4 linked regions of the Macaca fascicularis genome follow. Each later gene encodes a partner of the first gene's protein in a complex. Links are inferred from orthologs where the notes say so. Each region holds a gene or a part of one and is shown in the gene's direction. Other genes may lie near its edges.

Region 1 (4,284 bases):
GACTGTTTCTGGGTCTGGTGTGTCTGTCTCTTTATCTCTAAATCTCCATGTTTTGGTTTTAGTGACTTCATCTTTGCATTTCTATTTCAGTACCTGCTGTCAATATTTCTGCCCATCTGTACCAATCTGGGTCTGTTTCCGAACGCAAATGTATCTCTCATGTGTTTCGACCCACTGACCCCTAATCCCTTACTCTCTGCTTTGTATTTCTTTTTTCTTTTCTTTCCTTTTTTTTTTTTTTTTTTGGAGACGGAGTCTTGCTCTGTTGCCCAGCCTGGAGTGCAGTGGCGCGGCTCACCATAACCTCCTCCTCCCAGGTTCAAGCGATTCTCCTGCCTCAGCCTCCCGTGTAGCTGGGATTACAGGCACCCACCACCACGCCAAGCTAATTTTTGTATTATTATTATTTTGTTTTCGAGACGGAGTCTTGCTCTGTCGCCCAGGCTGAAGTGCAGTGAGGCGATCTCGGCTCACTGCAACCTCCGCCTCCCGTGTTCAAGCCATCCTCCTGCCTCAGCCTCCCAAGTAACTGGGATAACAGGCGCCCGCCACCGCGCCCAGTTAAATTTTATATTTTTAGTAGAGACGGGGTTTTACCATGTTGGCCAGGCTGGTTTTGAACTCCTGATCTCGTGATCCGCCCGCCTCAGTTTCCCAAAGTGCTGGGATTACAGGCATGAGCCACCTCGCCCGGACTTAATTTTTGTATTTTCAGTAGAGACCTGGTCTCAAACTCCTGATCTCAAGTGATCCGCCCGCCTTGGCCTCCCAAAGTGACAGGCGTGAGACACCGCACCCTCCCTTCTGCTCTGTACTTCTTCAACGTACTTATCACAACTTGAGTATTACACGTATTTGTCTGTCTGTCTCTCTCTAAAAAGTAACTCCCAGGAACATGGAGTGTGCTCAACAAACATCTGAACCAACCTGATTCGCGTATCCTCTCTGTCTCCTTTTAATCTCAACAATTGTGTTTCACACTTTCTCAGTATGCAAATATCTTTCTCGGTCTGGGGTCATGCCTTTCGGTTTCTGCCCCAGTGCCAAGGCCTCTTAAGTTCATCAGCGTGTGGACCACGGATTCGCAGAGGCCTGAGCTGTGGCGCGGCCGGGCTATGGCGCGTCGTCGGGCCTCAAGCACAGCCCCTTGTCCCTCGCTGGCTCTGTTCGGTACTTCCTCGGGTGCTCGCCCGGGCCCCTGCCATCTCTCACTTCAGCCCCGTGGGTTCTGCCCCACGTCTGTCTCCCTGGGTGTCTGAAGAGACAAGTCCCGCGCCGACGCCCCCGCGAACGCACGTGACCGCGCCCGGTGGTGCCCCCTTAGTCAACGCCGCGCAGTGCCCCTCCCGGAGCCCGCCGCTTCCGCTGGGCCGCGCGGCCCCGCCCCCAGCCGCTAGGAACCAATCCGCATGCACGCTGCTTGGCCCCGCCCGGGCACCCTTCTCGGCGCGCGCCCCTCCCTGCGCCCGCCCGCCGGCCCGCCCGTCAGTCTGGCAGGCAGGCAGGCAGTCGGTCCGAGTTGTCGTGGGCTCTTCAGGTCTGCCACACGGCGTCTTCTTTCCTCCTCCCGGTCAGCGGCGGCGGCTGCACCGGCGGCGGCACAGTCCCTTCAGGAGGGGCGATAGAAGCTGAGCGGCGGCCGCCGAGCGTCGAGCTCAGCGCGGCGGAGGCGGCGGCGGCCCGGCAGCCAACATGGCGGCGGCGGCGGCGGCGGGCGCGGGCCCGGAGATGGTCCGCGGGCAGGTGTTCGACGTGGGACCGCGCTACACCAACCTCTCGTACATCGGCGAGGGTGCCTACGGCATGGTGTGGTGAGTGTCCGCGCCCGGCCACGCCCGGCCCCCCCGCCGCCCGGGGCCGCAGCGGACGCAGCCTCGGCCTCGCCGGCGCCTCGGCCTCGGGCGCCGCGGCGACCTCGAACCCGGACTTCACTGCGGTCCGCGCGCCAGGGCTCGGGCGGGGCCCTGGGCCGGTTGAGGTTTAGGTGGTGTTGCTCTCGCGCTTCCCGGGCCGGCGGTCGCTCGGGAAGGGGCGCAGCGTGGGGGGCGGGGGGCGGAGGCCGGGACTAGTGGACCCTCGGCCCCGGGCGCAGCGCCGCCTTTAAAGTCTGGACCCTCGGGAAGGCAACGGAAGCGCCTCCACCCCCCAATTTGCTAGTATCATGGCCTTCTTTTGGACTTTCGATTGTAAAACCGGGAATTCCATCAGATGCTTGTCGGTGTTGGCGGCGGTGGCTGCTGAGGTCCTGAAAGCGGTTCGCCTCCGTGTGTGTGCAGAACACCGAAATAATTTTTCTCTCCTCGCCTCTGTTTGCAGCCAACGGCTTTCATTAACTGTCCTCAGCGGTGCTAATGGTGGTCTCCGCGCAGGCTTTCTAAAATGGATTACTGACACCAGTGTTGGTGGAGTATTTCCGTCTTGAAGTTTGTACTTTCAAGTGGATTTTAATATCGTACTGCTAGCGTTTCAGGAAGGATAAACCAACATTACTCTCTTCATTTATTAAAGATCCATTTAGAGTTGGGCCTAATTTGACTTTTTTTTAGCCCCCAAGTGAGCTCTTTTACCAGCATAAATGCTCCCAGATGTTTTAGCCCAATTGCTATGGACTCCTGTTAATGATTTAGTGGTCATTATGTATGCAGCCTTAATGGAGTTATTGCAGAATCACGTGTAGACTCCCTCATCTTGATTCAGGTCCCTTAGAAAAGTGAAATGATAGTGACGGTTTTTCTTTCTCTCTTTTTTTTGAGACGGGGTCTCGCTCTGTTGCCCAGGCTGAAGTGCAGTGGCGCGATCTCTGTTCACTTCAACCTCCGCCTCCTAGGTTCAAGCGATTCTCTTGCCTCAGCCTCCCTAGTAGCTGAGACTGCAGGCGCGCGCCACCACGCCCGGCTAATTTTTGTATTTTTTAGTAGAGACAGGGTGTCACCATGTTGACCCGGATGGTCTCGATCTATTGATCTAGTGATCCGCCCGTCTCGGCCTCCCAAAGTGCTGGGATTACAGGCGTGAGCCACCGCGCCCCGCTGACGGTATTGTTTTTATTAAAGCAAACTAGCGGTAGCATTTTGTGCTGGTGAGGACTTGTGGAAATAGATTTCCTTAAATCTGAATCTTGTGAATGTGTCTTTTGTGTTGACTGAAGGAAGTAAACTAATAATTTATTGAGCACTTCGTGGCAGGTACTGTGCTACATATATTATTTCATTTTATTTGAACAGCCACATTGAGGGAGGAAAAGATGGTGTTATTCCTTTTTTCAGGTGAGAAAGTGTTTCGAGGTGAAGCCAATTCCTGAGGTCATAGAACTAGAGTTATTAAGATTGTAGACTGAGATTCTACTAGACACACTGCAGCTCTTTTCAGCTGTCTTTAGGAAAACACTCTGCGTTCCTTAGTGTAATTAATACTTGCAGAATTTTCTGTATCTTACTGTTACAAAGTAAATACAAGTCTGTTTCAGAAATGTATTCAAATTTCAATCATCATAATTTTAGAAATGCCATAGAAGGCATGTTTTACCAAGTATGGTAGCTAGACAGAAAGATTAGTTAAAATTCTTTTAAAAGAGACTTTAATTGAATCTTTAATGTTTTCACTTTCTTTAGGAGCAAAATGCTGAATACAACTGTGAAAATTAATATGAACTTACAGGCTTAGGAGCCAAGAGAGAATTTAAATTAGGTCGAGCCTAAAAGAAGTAAGGCCCTGAAAAGTAATGAAGAGAAAGTATTGCCAGTAGCATTATTTCTCCACCATACATCTCATTGCTGTTGCACTCACTGGGAAGCGTGCCAGTGAACATGTCTCATTATGAGAGGCTCAGAATTTCCCATCACATCCTTTGGCCCTTTTAACAAGATTAGCTTATCTAAAATGTGGACTGAAAAAAGTCTTTTACGTTTAGGACATGTCAATTGAAAAGATACCCCCATCTGATAAGATTTCTCCTGTCTGATAAGGTTTTTATTAGTCTGAAGTTATTTAGATGTGGGAACCACTTCTGTCACTGCTGTAGGCTTATTTGACCATCTGACTCTCCATTTGAAATGCTAAGTCCTCTTTTTGTGATTTTCTTTTCCTAAGTGAAATACAAATATAATTGGAATTTGAATCCTAGATCCAGATTATAGCCTTTTATCAGGTTGATGACATACCCTGCTGTTAACCTTCTCCATTGCACGTTATTAGCATTTAATAAATGTTGGCTAGCAGTGCTGGGTTTATGGAGGGCTTGTTGAAATATTCACTAATATTTGAATAGTGATCTTTTAAAAAATG
Region 2 (4,192 bases), on another chromosome or scaffold:
GGGCCGAGATCGCGTCACAGCACTCCAGCCTGGCGACAGAGTGAGACCCTATCAAACAACAGCAGACCGGGCGCGGTGGCTCAAGCCTGTAATCCCAGCACTTTGGGAGGCCGAGATGGGTGGATCATGAGGTCAGGAGATCCAGACCATCCTGGCTAACACGGTGAAACCCCGTCTCTACTAAAAAATACAAAAAATTAGCCGGGCGAGGTGGCGGGCGCCTGTAGTCTCAGCTACTTGGGAGGCTGAGGCAGGAGAATGGCGTGAACCCGGGAGGCGGAGCTTGCAGTGAGCTGAGATCCGGCCACTGCACTCCAGCCTGGGCGACAGAGCAAGACTCCGTCTCAAAAAAAAAAAAAAAAAAAAAAGGTAACAACAACAAAACCAGCGTCTCCTCCCGAGGGGACAGAACAGAAACGAATGGGCGAGCGCCGGCAAAGCGGTGGGTCTCCAGCAGGCGGCATTAAAATCTTGGCTGGGGGCAGTGGCTCACGCCTGTAATCCCAGCACTTTGGAAGGCCGAGGCGGACGGATCACGTGAGGTCAGAACCAGCCTTGTCAACATGGTGAAATGCCGTCTCTACTGAAAATACGAAAATTAGCCAGGCGTGGTGGTGGGTGCCTATAATCCCAGCAACTCGGGAGGCTGAGGCAGGAGAATCGCTTGAACTAGGGGAGCAGGGTTTGCCGTGAGCCGAGATTGCAACACTGCACTCCAGCCTGCGTAACAAGAGTATAACTCTGTCTCAAAAATAAATTAAATAAATAATACAAATAAAAAAGAATCTTCATGCGAAGTCGGGAACACATGAAAAGGCGTAAAGGCCTGGCGCGGTGGCTCACGCCTGTAATCCCAGCACTTTGGGAGGCCCGAGGCGGGCGGATCACCTGAGGTCGGAAGTTCGAGACCAGTCTGACCAACAAAGGGAAACCCTGTCTCTACTAAAAATACAAAATTAGCCGCGCGTGGTGGTGTATGCCTGTAGTCCCAGCTACTTGGGAGGCTGAGGAAGGAGAATCGCTTGAACCCGGAAGGTGGAGGTTGCAGTGAGCTGAGATTGCGCAATTGCACTCCAGCCTGGGCGACAAGAGTGAAACCCTGTATCGAATGAAAGAAGAAAGGAAGGAAGGAAGGAGGACGGGAGGGAGGGAGGGAGAGAGGGAAAAGGAAAGAAAGGAAGGAAAGAAAAGGAAGGAAGGAAGGAAAGAAAGAACAAAGAAACGAAAAAAAGAAAGAAATGAAGAAAGAAAGAAAAAAGAAAAAGACAAGACCTAAAGGCTCCTCGCGGCTTCCGTATTACGGAACACATGCGCAAAGATGGCGGCGACCAGGTTTACAGGGCCTAAAAATGGTCACGTGAAAAATCAACTTCCGGTCTTTCTTCCAAAAACGCATTCCCTACTTCCTGTGCTCCTGCGAGACGCGCGCGTCGGGGATTAACGCGTTTCTGGGCCGCCGTAAGCCCGGCTAGGGGCCGCTGTGACTCGAGAGCTGGCTACAGGCGCATGGAAGGTTCCCCGGAACGGGAGGCGCCAGCGGCGGCGCTGGCCGCCGTGCTAAAGCACAGCTCGACGTTGCCGCCCGAAAGCACCCAGGTTCGGGGCTACGACTTCAACCGCGGTGTGGATTACCGCGCGCTGCTGAAAGCCTTCGGCACCACCGGCTTCCAGGCCACCAACTTCGGGCGCGCTGTACAGCAAGTCAATGCCATGGTGAGGACGGGGGCGGGACTTCTAGGGACGCGGAGGGGCGTGGCTTGCAGAACCAGTGCGGTACGGGGCAGGGCTTCCAGTGGAGGGGATGTGTCTTTTATTTGAGCGGCCCAATAGTTGGAGGAAGGCGGGACCTATTCTGGGCGGGAGTTTCTGTCCTGGGAAGGGGATTTTGCACTGTAGTAGTTACAGGGTAGTACGGTAGCCCGAGGAGGCAAGGACTGATTCTCGGTGTGGGAGCGGGTTCCAGGTAAATTTACAGCTTTCTGGAATGGGCGGAGCCTGAGGCTATACAAGTTAAGGGAGGATTTGGGAGGAGGAGCCTAAGTCTGGGCGGTGATTGAATTTAGATTTGCTTTTCCCAGCGGGGAAGGGACCGGATCTGAAAGGAGATGCTCTCTGATTCCTAAAAACGTGGGGGCTGGCTGGGCGCGGTGGCTTATGCCTGTAATCCCAGCATTTTGGGAAGCCGAGGCGGGTGGATCACTAGATCAGGAGTTCGAGACCAGCCTGGCCAACATGGTGAAACCCTGTCTCTACTAAAATTCAAAAAATTAGCCGGGCATGGTGATGCGCGCCTGTAGTCCCAGCTACTCCGGAGGCTGAGGCAGGAGAATCGCTTCAACCCGGAAGGTTGCAGCGAGATCGCGCCACTGCAATCCAGTCTGGTGACAGAGCCATACTCTGTCTCAAAAAAAAAAAAAAAAAAAGGCCGGGCACGGTGGCTCACGCCTGTAATCTCAGCATTTGGGGAGGCTGAGGCGGGCGGATCACCTGAGGTCGAGAGTTCGAGACCAGCCTGACCAACATGGAGAAACCCCGTCTCTACTAAAAAGACATACCTGTAATCTCAGCTACTTGGGAGGCTGAGGCAGGAGAATTGCTTGAACCTGAGAGACGGAGGTTGCGGTGAGCCAAAATTGCGCCATTGCACTCTAGCCTGGGCAACAAGAGTGAAACTCTGTCTAAAAAAAATGGGTGGGGGCAAATCCTTAACACGTGTCCTGAGATCTGGTCTGGGAAGGGGCAGAGTTTGCACAGGAGATGTACCTTGGTCTCCTGTAGAACTGGTCCTGTATCCCTGACTGTGCAGGGCCTGGGGTGAAATCTGTTTCTGGACCCCACCTGGAGTCCTGGGTCTGGGATTTAACGCCAGTGCTTAACTCGACCTGGCTCTTACTCTCAGATCGAGAAGAAGCTGGAACCACTGTCACAGGATGAAGACCAGCATGCAGACCTGACCCAGAGCCGCCGCCCACTTACCGGCTGCACCATTTTCCTGGGATATACATCCAACCTCATCAGTTCAGGCATCCGTGAGACCATTCGCTACCTTGTGCAGCACAACATGGTGGGGACCTGGTGGGGCCGTGGCCTTGGCCTCTGGGTCAATGGGCGATGCAGTTATTGATCGTTTAAGTGAGATGGGGAGATAGGAGTCTGTTACAAGCAGAGGAACAGAATCGAGTTTTGTTTTGTAGCAGAGCTCCCTCGTAGGAGTCACTGGACAAGGATGAGGTTAGAAGTCCTGCCCAGAATGAGGGCCGGGGCTTCCTTCTTGGGCCAACTTCACTGCCCTGTGGCTGCAGGTGGATGTATTGGTGACCACAGCTGGCGGCGTGGAGGAGGACCTCATCAAGTGCCTGGCGCCCACATACTTGGGCGAGTTTAGCCTCAGGGGGAAGGAGCTCCGGGAGAACGGAATCAATAGGTGAGAACCCTGAGTGGTGCTGGGCAGGGGAGCTGGACCAAGGGTCCTGGGGCCTGATGCCCACATGCTTCCCGTCCTCAGGATCGGAAACCTGCTGGTGCCCAATGACAATTACTGCAAGTTTGAGGACTGGCTGATGCCCATTCTGGACCAGATGGTGCTGGAGCAGAACACAGAGGTGGGGCTGGGGCAACCTGGAGGGGCCAGTCCAGTGGGAGTCAGGGGAGGCATGGCCTGAAGCTCACCTCCTCTCCTAGGGTGTAAAGTGGACGCCTTCTAAGATGATCGCCCGGCTGGGCAAGGAGATCAACAACCCAGAGTCCGTGTATTACTGGGCCCAGAAGGTGAGGACCTAAGCGGGGGCAAAGTAGCCAGACTTTGACATGTGTTACTTCATCTTTCCAGCCACCTGGGGATTCACCACTGTTATTCTCAGCATCCTCACGCTTAGATGAGGAGACTCAAACACAGATAGGCATGGTAAATTTTTTTTTTTTTTTTTTTGAGACAGGATCTGGCTCTGTCACCTAGGCTGGAGTGCAGTGATGTGATCACAGCTCACTGCAGCCTCAACCTCCTGGGGCCAAGCAGTCCTCCCACCTCAGCCTCTCGAGTAGCTGGGACCACAGGCACATGCCACCATGACCAGCTAATTTTTTTTTTTTTTTTTTTTTTTTGAGACGGAGTCTCGCTCTGCCGCCCAGGCTGGAGTGCAGTGGCCGGATCTCAGCTCACTGCAAGCTCCGCCTCCCGGGTTCACGCCATTCT
Region 3 (4,205 bases), on another chromosome or scaffold:
GCTGGCTCTGCAGGGCGGTAGAGACGTTCCCCTCGACTCCTTGGGAGCCAGGAGCCAGGGGGGTCCAGGCAGGCACTCGTCCTTGCTCCTCCCACCCGCCCCACATCTTTATGGAACCGGGAGTCCCGCGCTCAGCCCAGTACCCGTCCACTGCATCGCGCACAACCCCCTGCCCGCCAAGCGGGGAGACGGGGACAGCGGGGCGGTGGCAGGGAGCGCAGCGCGCAGGCGCGACTAGTGCTCCCCGGAGTGCCCGGCGCTGGACAAAGGGAGGAGGCGGCGGCAGGAGAGGGCTGGGGAGGCCCCCTCTGACATGCCTCCCTGCCAACTAACCAATCGTCAAGCCCCCCTGCTGAGGCCCCGCAGCCTGCAGGCCTTCCCCACTCCTCGCCCATGGCGGGGACTGCCGGCCTGGCCCGGCGCGTCCCAGCACACCTCGCCCAGGCAGCCCCGCCAGACCGGCTCCTCCGTCAGAAGCCGAGCTCCTTGCCCAGAAATCATTAACGAGCGCGACCCCCCAGCAGGCGACGGTGGTGATGGGGTGGGGGGAGAGATTTAGATCCCCGGAACAATGGCTTGTAACTCCCCACGCCGCTGGAGCGGAATACAGTAAAAGCACTGGACTGACCTAAGAGTTTGTTTCTGCACTCTACATTGTTTTAAAGAAAATAAAATGTTACTTTAAGAAAAAAGGTTTCCTTCTGATTTTCTGAACAACCAGACGTTTGTTTGTTTGCTTTAAAATGTTTCAACAAAATCCTGGTTTGTTTCGAAATATGTTGGATTAGCATTTAACACCTCATCGGTCACTAAAGCCCAGTCAATTCACCAGCCCCAACACAGCCTCGGCTAAAAGAACATCAGAGCAAACAGAGCTAGGCCTTTAAAACTGGCAAACAAATGCCACACACCGCCTAAAGAAGGGGGGTTGGGGGAGGGGAGGGTTAAGGCGAACTTGGGTCCAAATGAGTTTGAAGAGAATACAAAGAACAAAAAGTCAGCACAAGTTTTCCTAAAGCTAGCTCGCGAACGCTAGCGTCGCGAACAAGGGCTTTTGTGCATGCTAATTGCGCCATTGGTGCGCAAAAGTTCCGACGCGAAGTGTGAACTCTCAACAGAAGGAAACATGAGACAACTGAAGTGCCCTGGTTTATGTGCCCTGCTCCTCCTCCGCTGCCGCCTCCCCTTCTTTCTCCTTCCTCCCGCCGAGCCCGCTGTTGCAGCTTGTTTGCACTGGGGCTTATCCGGAGCGGAAATTCCTTTCCGTTTTTGTGAATGACAAACTCATTAACAATTCATCAACACAACCTGTTCCAGCCGGCCCGTCCCCACGGCAACAGCCCCTTCCGCAGCACGCTCATTGGCTGGCCCGGAGAATGTATCCATTGAGACGCTCGCTGTTTGTATCCATTGAGGAGCTGCCTCGCGCAGGGGGTGTGCGAGGCTGAGTCCAAGGGATAGTGAGCAAATCGAGTCTTAAATAATCCGGGGAGAAAGACGCCCGGGTAGATTTGAGGTGCAGACTTGGCGGGAGGGATTAGGAACCGCTAGACTTTTTTTCCTCCCCTCTCAGTAGAACTGAGTCCGAATTAATTGGATTTCATTCACTGGGGAGGAACAAAAACTGTCTGGGCAGCTTCATTGAGAGATTCATTGACACTAACAGCCAGCGGCTGCAGCTGGGTGCAGAAAGAACCTCCGGCTTTACTTCTGTCTCGTCTTCCCCAACCGCTAGCCTCGGCTTGGGTTAGGCGAGGCGGAATTAAACCCCGCTCCGAGAGCGGCAGCTTCACGCGCAGCGCGCTCGGCCTATGCCTGCCCCGAGGGGCGTCTGGTAGGCACCCCGCCCTCTCCCGCAGCTCGACCCCCATGATAGATACGCTCAGACCCGTGCCCTTCGCGTCGGAAATGGCGATCAGCAAGACGGTGGCGTGGCTCAACGAGCAGCTGGAGCTGGGCAACGAGCGGCTGCTGCTGATGGACTGCCGGCCGCAGGAGCTGTACGAGTCGTCGCACATCGAGTCGGCCATCAACGTGGCCATCCCGGGCATCATGCTGCGGCGCCTGCAGAAGGGCAACCTGCCGGTGCGCGCACTCTTCACGCGCGGCGAGGACCGGGACCGCTTCACCCGGCGCTGCGGCACCGACACAGTGGTGCTCTACGACGAGAGCAGCAGCGACTGGAACGAGAATACGGGCGGCGAGTCAGTGCTAGGGCTGCTGCTCAAGAAGCTCAAGGACGAGGGTTGCCGGGCGTTCTACCTGGAAGGTACGCGCCCGGGGAACTCCGCGCGCGGGGCAGGGCGAGGGGCGCAGGGCTGCGGGCGGGGCGCGTGGACTGAAAATGCCTCTGCTGCGCTCAGCTGGCGCTTCGGAGCCGCGCTGCTAGCCTAGGGGCCGGCAGCCGGCAAGGTATCGGCCGCGAACCGCGCGTTCCGCACCAGAGAACCGGGCCGGCTCAGAATCCACCCGCTTCCGGCTGCGGGTACCGGCGGTTTCTTTCTAACGGGTTCTGCGCCTTCTTACCCAGAACATTCTCCTCCATCACCCTATTTTCTATCGTTCGATTTTGAATTAAGATTTGGAGGACCGGAGAGATTGTTGGGGATGCAAATTGGCACATCCTAGCTTTCAAAATATTCCAAAAAGTTGCCATTTTGTGTATTTCCGGATTCAAACGAATAAGGGTTCTCTGGCGAGGCGGGCCCGTTCGTTCCATTCCCGAGGGTGCACATTTAAAGTGTATTTCTATTATTTATGGTTCTGTATGTAGGGGGTTCGTAGGGTGCTTGTGGTGTTTCTTGCGCCGGGTTGCGGTTCTTACAAGCTGTGAAAACTACTACGGCTTCTCGGGTTACACGATTGCTTTTCTCGTTCTGGCAGGTGGCTTCAGTAAGTTCCAAGCCGAGTTCGCCCTGCATTGCGAGACCAATCTAGACGGCTCGTGTAGCAGCAGCTCGCCGCCGTTGCCAGTGCTGGGGCTCGGGGGCCTGCGGATCAGCTCTGACTCTTCCTCGGACATTGAGTCTGACCTTGACCGAGACCCCAATAGTGCAACAGACTCGGATGGCAGTCCGCTGTCCAACAGCCAGCCTTCCTTCCCGGTGGAGATCTTGCCCTTCCTTTACTTGGGTTGTGCCAAAGACTCCACCAACTTGGACGTGTTGGAGGAATTCGGCATCAAGTACATCTTGAACGTCACCCCCAATTTGCCGAATCTCTTTGAGAACGCAGGAGAGTTTAAATACAAGCAAATCCCCATCTCGGATCACTGGAGCCAAAACCTGTCCCAGTTTTTCCCTGAGGCCATTTCTTTCATAGGTGAGACTAATTAATAGTAGTCGTTCTGACATTTAAATGCAAAATTCCCAGCCATTCATAGAGTTTAAGCTGTTAATCGTTCTTGCTGCTTGCTAATTTGTCGTACTGCAGGTCTCTAATTTTCCTAAAGCGTCCTTAATTCTGGTTTATCTTCTCGCTAAGGGAAGAAAACCTGCCTTTTGATATGGCTGCAGATTACAGGTGTATTTGAAACGCTGTTTCTGTGAATCTTTGAATTCAGTCATTTGACAGTCGTTCATAATCGGACAACAGATTTTTCCCACAGTCTTGGACTCAGGGGAAGGGTCAGATAGAAGTATTCACTATAGACAGAAATTCCAGCATTGCTTTATAATTTTAAAAAACCTAGGAGTTATTTTAGGACGTCAAGTTAGTTGTTGGAAAGCAGTATGAATGCTAAATGTTATCCAGTTGAATGATACTGTGATACTGGTAACAGTGAGACAGTGGGTAACCTGAGCCCAGAAGGAAGAACTGTGGGCTGGAAGCCTGGGAGAAGTGAATCTCCAGGCATTGTAATGCATTTCCTATTACAAAGGAACTCATTTTCAGGCCATGTCGACATCCTGTTCCTCCTAATGGGCCGTCCCCTGTGACTTCCCTCTCTCTTTTAAAATGCCTGAATACCTCCATTGTTAGCTGCACAACATTTGGAGAATAATTTAATAGACCCTTGCAGTCTGGTTGTCTGTATAAAAGGCATTCACGAACATATTGCAGGGTTTCTGGTATTCACATGCTGAGGCAAAGAATGCACCCATTAAGGAGTTTTTTGTTGGCAGAAACTTAATACAAAAGCTCTCTTTTCAGAAAATATCTGAAATATGTAATTGTGTCCAGTGTACATGTTTAATTTCAATGAT
Region 4 (4,051 bases), on another chromosome or scaffold:
TGACTGGTGTGGGGGGTGAGGCAGAGGCCAGTCTCCGGGTCACTGCCCGCAAGCATGTTAGGGATTCCCAGGTTCCTGCTCCCCTCCACTCTCTCCTGAGCACAGGAGCCAACCCATTTCCCAGCCCTAATTGGCCTCCTCCTCGGGGAAACCCACCCACTCTGGAGAGGAGCGCAGGCTGCAGGGAAGGAGGCGCCAGGATCAGCTGGCCATGGAGGAGCTCAAAAAAGAGCCAGCCCCTGTCCCCACTGCCCAGAGCAAGGGCGGGTGCTGGGAGGCCTTCTGAGCCTCTGAGAGCCGTTCTTGTTCTTCATCTCAACCCTCCTCCCCAAGGGGCCAGCAGAAGGCCAGCCCCCTCCCGACCACCCCCTCCGGCATGCCTACCCCCTGTGTCTAGGGTACCTCATTTCTTTTTTGCTGTCACCATTTGACAGCTGAATCAGGGAAGTGGGAGGAAGAAAGAGGACGTGGATTGCGCGTGTTGGGGGCCGGGAAGGGAAGGGCGTTTGAAATGTTACAAGGTAAAAGGAGGCCTGCAGCAAGCATGAATCGGCTGGGCTGCTGGCCCGCAAGGAGCCTGCCAAGGCCAGGCAGGGGCAGTGGGCAGAGGAGTCTTGGACTTGGGGGCCACCCTTCAGGTCCCAGGCATCCAGGCACCCCAGCAGCGAAGAGGACATGGGAGTCCCCTGGTGTGAGGGCCAGAGACTCTCCACTGTCTGTAAGTCTTCTAAGTAGATGTCAGGGTTCTGGGAGGAGGCCTGCAGGGGGCTGGGGGCCCAGGGGAAGCCCCTCAGACTCCCTCCCACAAGTGGACTCTGCTATCTGTTTCCTGCTGGGCTGGCCTACATTCAGGCCGCGGGCTGTGGAGAGCTGGGCCGTGGCACAGGGCGTGGAGACGACCTTTTTGGCCTGGCCCCAGGCCTTTCCTTCACATTGTGAGGCATGGATTCTTGCCTCCTCTTTTTCCCCACCCCAAGTCTGTGCCACATCTGCTCTGGGAAGATGTGGTCTGTGCTTGGCCATGAATTCCCAAGGCTTGAAGCAGCAAGGGCTTTGAGGGAGAGGACTGTGAGGCAGAAGCAGAGAAGCAGAAATAAGCCTCCGGCCAAGGTCAGGTTGAGCAGGAGAGCCTTGGGTTCTTTGTGGGACAGCACAAAGCTGGGGGTCAGGCGAGCTGTGCCCAGCAAGTAGGCAGTGGCTGGATGTGACAAAGACCCAGAGGAGAAACACAGCAGGAGGGGAGAGGGTCTGGAAGCTGGGGAAAGCAGGATGGTCGGGAAGGCCTGGCCCCTCACCCATTCCCAGGGAACAGGGCCTTGGGCCCCAGAAGGGCACAGGCGGGAGGCAGCCGACCCCTGGTGGCAGCGGCAGCAGGCACAGGAGGGCAGAATGCAGCTGGGGTGTGCGTGGGTGGCAGCAAGGAGGGGCGGAGGGAGGAAGCTGGCTTCCTGGAGCCTTCTCAGCCCTCAAAGACAGACCGACAGACAGACAGACAGCTGGCAAGAGGCAGCCTGGGGGCCACAGCTGCTTCAGTAAGTATCTGAAGCGGGGACTGGGAGTCCTGTGGCCCTGGGGGGTGCGAACTCCGGGGATATAAGAGGGCATCTCAGGAGGGAGTGCAGGAGGGCGAGTGGGGCGCTCCAATGCCTGGCTGGGGAATGGGTGCTCACAGACCTGGTGTCCCCAAGATGGGGGTGAGCAGGGAAACCACAGGGAGCTGCAAGGAGAGCAAAGGCTGAAGGGACCCTTTCTGCTGCCAGAGACCGTTGCTCTACCACCCACACCTGTGCCGGGCCCACTCTGTCCCCTCACCTCCATCCCTGCCGCCTTGGTGACTCAACAGCCCCGCCACCTCGCCCACTGTGACCCTGGCTCTGGGAGATAGGGACTGCCCCCAAGAGGAGATGGTCCCATCACCTCCATGCCCCCTGTCTTGCCCCCAGCTGTCGCCTCACCATGCGCTGTCGCTCAAGGGCTTGGTGAGGCCATTTCCTGTGACGGTTACAGAGGCGGGAGACGGGGGGATGGGCAGGAGGAGGAAGGAAACACCTCCAGCCTACCTCCATGGACAGAGACCCCAGAAGCCAGAAATGGACTTGGGAGTGGAACAGCAGCAGTTAGGAGAGGACCCTGCTGGGGTCCAGGAGCCCGCCTGCCTGGCTGCCCAATCAGCTCCAACACTGCTGGAGGCCTCCATTCTCTGTTCAGGAGAAGGCCCACTGGTTAGCTCAGAGATGGCTTCTGCACGCTTTCTCCCTTCTGTCCTAGAGAACACATGTTTTCTGTTTCCTCCCTTGCCTTCTCCCACTTGGACCCGCTCAGAGCCCTGTGTACTCTGGTGTGTGGTCTCTCTCCCCTCTCTCTTTTCCTCCTTCTGGATTGTTTCCTATCTTCATCCACAATCTCTACCCTTTATCTTGCCGTTACTCTGACCCCAGACTGCCTTGTGTCCTGGGTCCCGCCAAATAGATCCTGTCCTTCCCTTAGTGAAAATGAGGCTACCTCTTGGGAAACAGAAGACGACCCAGTGAAAATAAGAGCGCAAAGCCGGCCTAGCGTGGGAGCCTCCTTCTGGCCAATCAGCAGGCCAGAGAACAGCAGCGGAGGACCCTGTCTTTCAGGCAGACCTCATGGCTGAATGAGCCTCCCCTGGGCCTAGCACCCCACCCCAGCATGGTCCAGGCCTGTGGGGGGCGCTCCAGAGCACAGCCGCTGACCTTGTCTTTGGGGGCAGCCATGACCCAGCCTCCGCCTGCCAAAACGCCAGCCAAGAAGCATGTACGGCTCCAGGAGAGGTGAGATCTTCCCTGGGAGAGGGGTCTTCCCCGCCCTGCGTCCCCATTCCGCTCCTCCCTTCCCTCCATCTGCTCCTCCAGCTCTGACAGCAGGGTCCAGAGGGCCCTCAGGTGTTGACTCCTATTTGGAAAGGAAACCAATAGTGCTCATTTGCATGTCTTTTGCATGTCTGGAGCACAGAGTTTCATATCAACCCTGGGCCTGCTCCCTAAATTCCAGGCAAGGCCAGCAGCTTTCTTGGTGCTGGATGCATGTCAGAGCCACAGGGCCTGGCTGGGAGTGGGAAGAGGCAGGCGGCTGGAAGAAGCAGTTGAGTTCAAGGCTGCCCTGTTCTGGCTGACAAAGGGAGAGGGCTGAGCCGGGCATGGTAGCTCATGCCCCAAATCCCAGCACTTTGGGAGGCTGAGGTGAGAGGATCTCTTGAGTCTAGGAATTAGAGACCAGCCTAGGCAATATAGTGAGACCTCCTCTCTCTCAAAAAAAAAGGAGGGCATACAGCAGGGGCCCGAACCCTAAATTTACTGGGCCTCCAGGTTAAAGGAAAGACAAAGAGCGGCCCCCTCAGAGGTGCCTCATAACAGTAATACTTGTAAGAAAAGCAAATATGGTCAGGTACAGTGGCTCATGCCTATAATCCCAGCACTTTGGGAAGCCAAGGCAGGAGGATCACTTGAGTTCAAAACCAGCCTGAGCAACAGAGCAAGACCCTGTCTCTCCAAAAAAAAAAAAAAAAATTTAAATTAGCCAGGTGTGGTAGCATATGCCTGTGGTCCCAGCTACTCTGGAAGCTGAGGTGGGAGGATCGCTTCAGCCCAGGAGTTTGAGGCTGCTGTGAGCCACAATTGTGCCATCACACTCCAGCCTGGGCAACAGAGAGAGACCCTATCTCCAGCCTGGGCAACAGAGAGAGACCCTATGTCTTAAAGAAAAGATAAAAAGAAAAGGAAAGCAAATATGATTGGGTGCTCACTAGGCAGTGGGGGGCTATACCTGCAGGCGGGGCTCCAATGTGGCTCTGATGTTGGACGTTCGGTCGCTGGGGGCCGTAGAACCCATCTGCTCCGTGAACACACCCCGGGAGGTCACCCTACATTTCCTGCGCACTGCTGGACACCCTCTTACCCGCTGGGCCCTTCAGCACCAGCCACCCAGCCCCAAGCAGCTGGAAGAAGAATTCTTGGTAAGAAATTGGGGTCCCCTCCGAATCACTCTGCCCTCTGTATCAGAGGCAGCCAGCTGGAACCATTCTCTCACG

Evidence for each region.
Region 2: the proteins of MAPK1 (region 1) and DHPS are in contact, whole or in part, in a cryo-EM structure (PDB 8PVU), measured with the Homo sapiens proteins. The link is inferred for Macaca fascicularis from reciprocal best matches to the Homo sapiens genes MAPK1 and DHPS. Residues at the interface, in NP_002736.3 of Homo sapiens: Tyr113, Tyr187, Ala189, Thr190, Arg191, Trp192, Arg225, Lys231, His232, Tyr233, Leu234, His239, Lys259; in NP_001921.1 of Homo sapiens: Arg159, Glu160, Asn161, Asn164, Asn173, Glu174, Tyr176, Cys177, Glu180, Asp181, Met184, Asp188, Asp243, Phe247, Tyr250.
Region 3: the proteins of MAPK1 (region 1) and DUSP6 are in contact, whole or in part, in a crystal structure (PDB 2FYS), measured with the Rattus norvegicus proteins. The link is inferred for Macaca fascicularis from reciprocal best matches to the Homo sapiens genes MAPK1 and DUSP6. Residues at the interface, in NP_446294.1 of Rattus norvegicus: Glu79, Glu107, Thr108, Leu113, Gln117, Leu119, Asp122, His123, Tyr126, Phe127, Gln130, Thr157, Thr158, Cys159, Asp160, Tyr314, Asp316, Asp319; in NP_446335.1 of Rattus norvegicus: Arg64, Arg65, Leu66, Gln67, Lys68, Gly69, Asn70, Leu71, Pro72, Val73, Arg74.
Region 4: the proteins of MAPK1 (region 1) and PTPN7 are in contact, whole or in part, in a crystal structure (PDB 3D42), measured with the Homo sapiens proteins. The link is inferred for Macaca fascicularis from reciprocal best matches to the Homo sapiens genes MAPK1 and PTPN7. Residues at the interface, in NP_002736.3 of Homo sapiens: Thr185, Glu186, Tyr187, Val188; in NP_001351807.1 of Homo sapiens: Arg124, Tyr125, Lys126, Ile128, Asp257, His258, Ser292, Ala293, Gly294, Ile295, Gly296, Arg297, Gln335.

The regions. Positions count from the first base shown.
Region 1 is NC_088384.1:31,257,359-31,261,642, forward strand, and holds the start of MAPK1 (mitogen-activated protein kinase 1), read left to right. Parts: upstream 1-1,484; 5' UTR 1,485-1,692; coding exon 1,693-1,811; intron 1,812-4,284. UniProt on the Homo sapiens protein: Serine/threonine kinase which acts as an essential component of the MAP kinase signal transduction pathway. MAPK1/ERK2 and MAPK3/ERK1 are the 2 MAPKs which play an important role in the MAPK/ERK cascade.
Region 2 is NC_088393.1:13,065,680-13,069,871, reverse strand, and holds the start of DHPS (deoxyhypusine synthase), read left to right. Parts: upstream 1-1,392; 5' UTR 1,393-1,506; coding exon 1,507-1,713; exon of another isoform or gene 1,714-1,732; intron 1,733-1,874; exon of another isoform or gene 1,875-1,963; intron 1,964-2,899; coding exon 2,900-3,064; intron 3,065-3,302; coding exon 3,303-3,424; intron 3,425-3,505; coding exon 3,506-3,602; intron 3,603-3,681; coding exon 3,682-3,768; intron 3,769-4,192. UniProt on the Homo sapiens protein: Catalyzes the NAD-dependent oxidative cleavage of spermidine and the subsequent transfer of the butylamine moiety of spermidine to the epsilon-amino group of a critical lysine residue of the eIF-5A precursor protein to form the intermediate deoxyhypusine residue.
Region 3 is NC_088385.1:96,315,958-96,320,162, reverse strand, and holds the start of DUSP6 (dual specificity protein phosphatase 6), read left to right. Parts: upstream 1-1,405; 5' UTR 1,406-1,869; coding exon 1,870-2,269; intron 2,270-2,883; coding exon 2,884-3,321; intron 3,322-4,205. UniProt on the Homo sapiens protein: Dual specificity protein phosphatase, which mediates dephosphorylation and inactivation of MAP kinases. Has a specificity for the ERK family. Plays an important role in alleviating chronic postoperative pain.
Region 4 is NC_088375.1:59,915,368-59,919,418, reverse strand, and holds the start of PTPN7 (tyrosine-protein phosphatase non-receptor type 7), read left to right. Parts: upstream 1-1,251; 5' UTR 1,252-1,269; coding exon 1,270-1,532; exon of another isoform or gene 1,533-2,621; coding exon 2,622-2,795; intron 2,796-3,792; coding exon 3,793-3,976; intron 3,977-4,051. UniProt on the Homo sapiens protein: Protein phosphatase that acts preferentially on tyrosine-phosphorylated MAPK1. Plays a role in the regulation of T and B-lymphocyte development and signal transduction.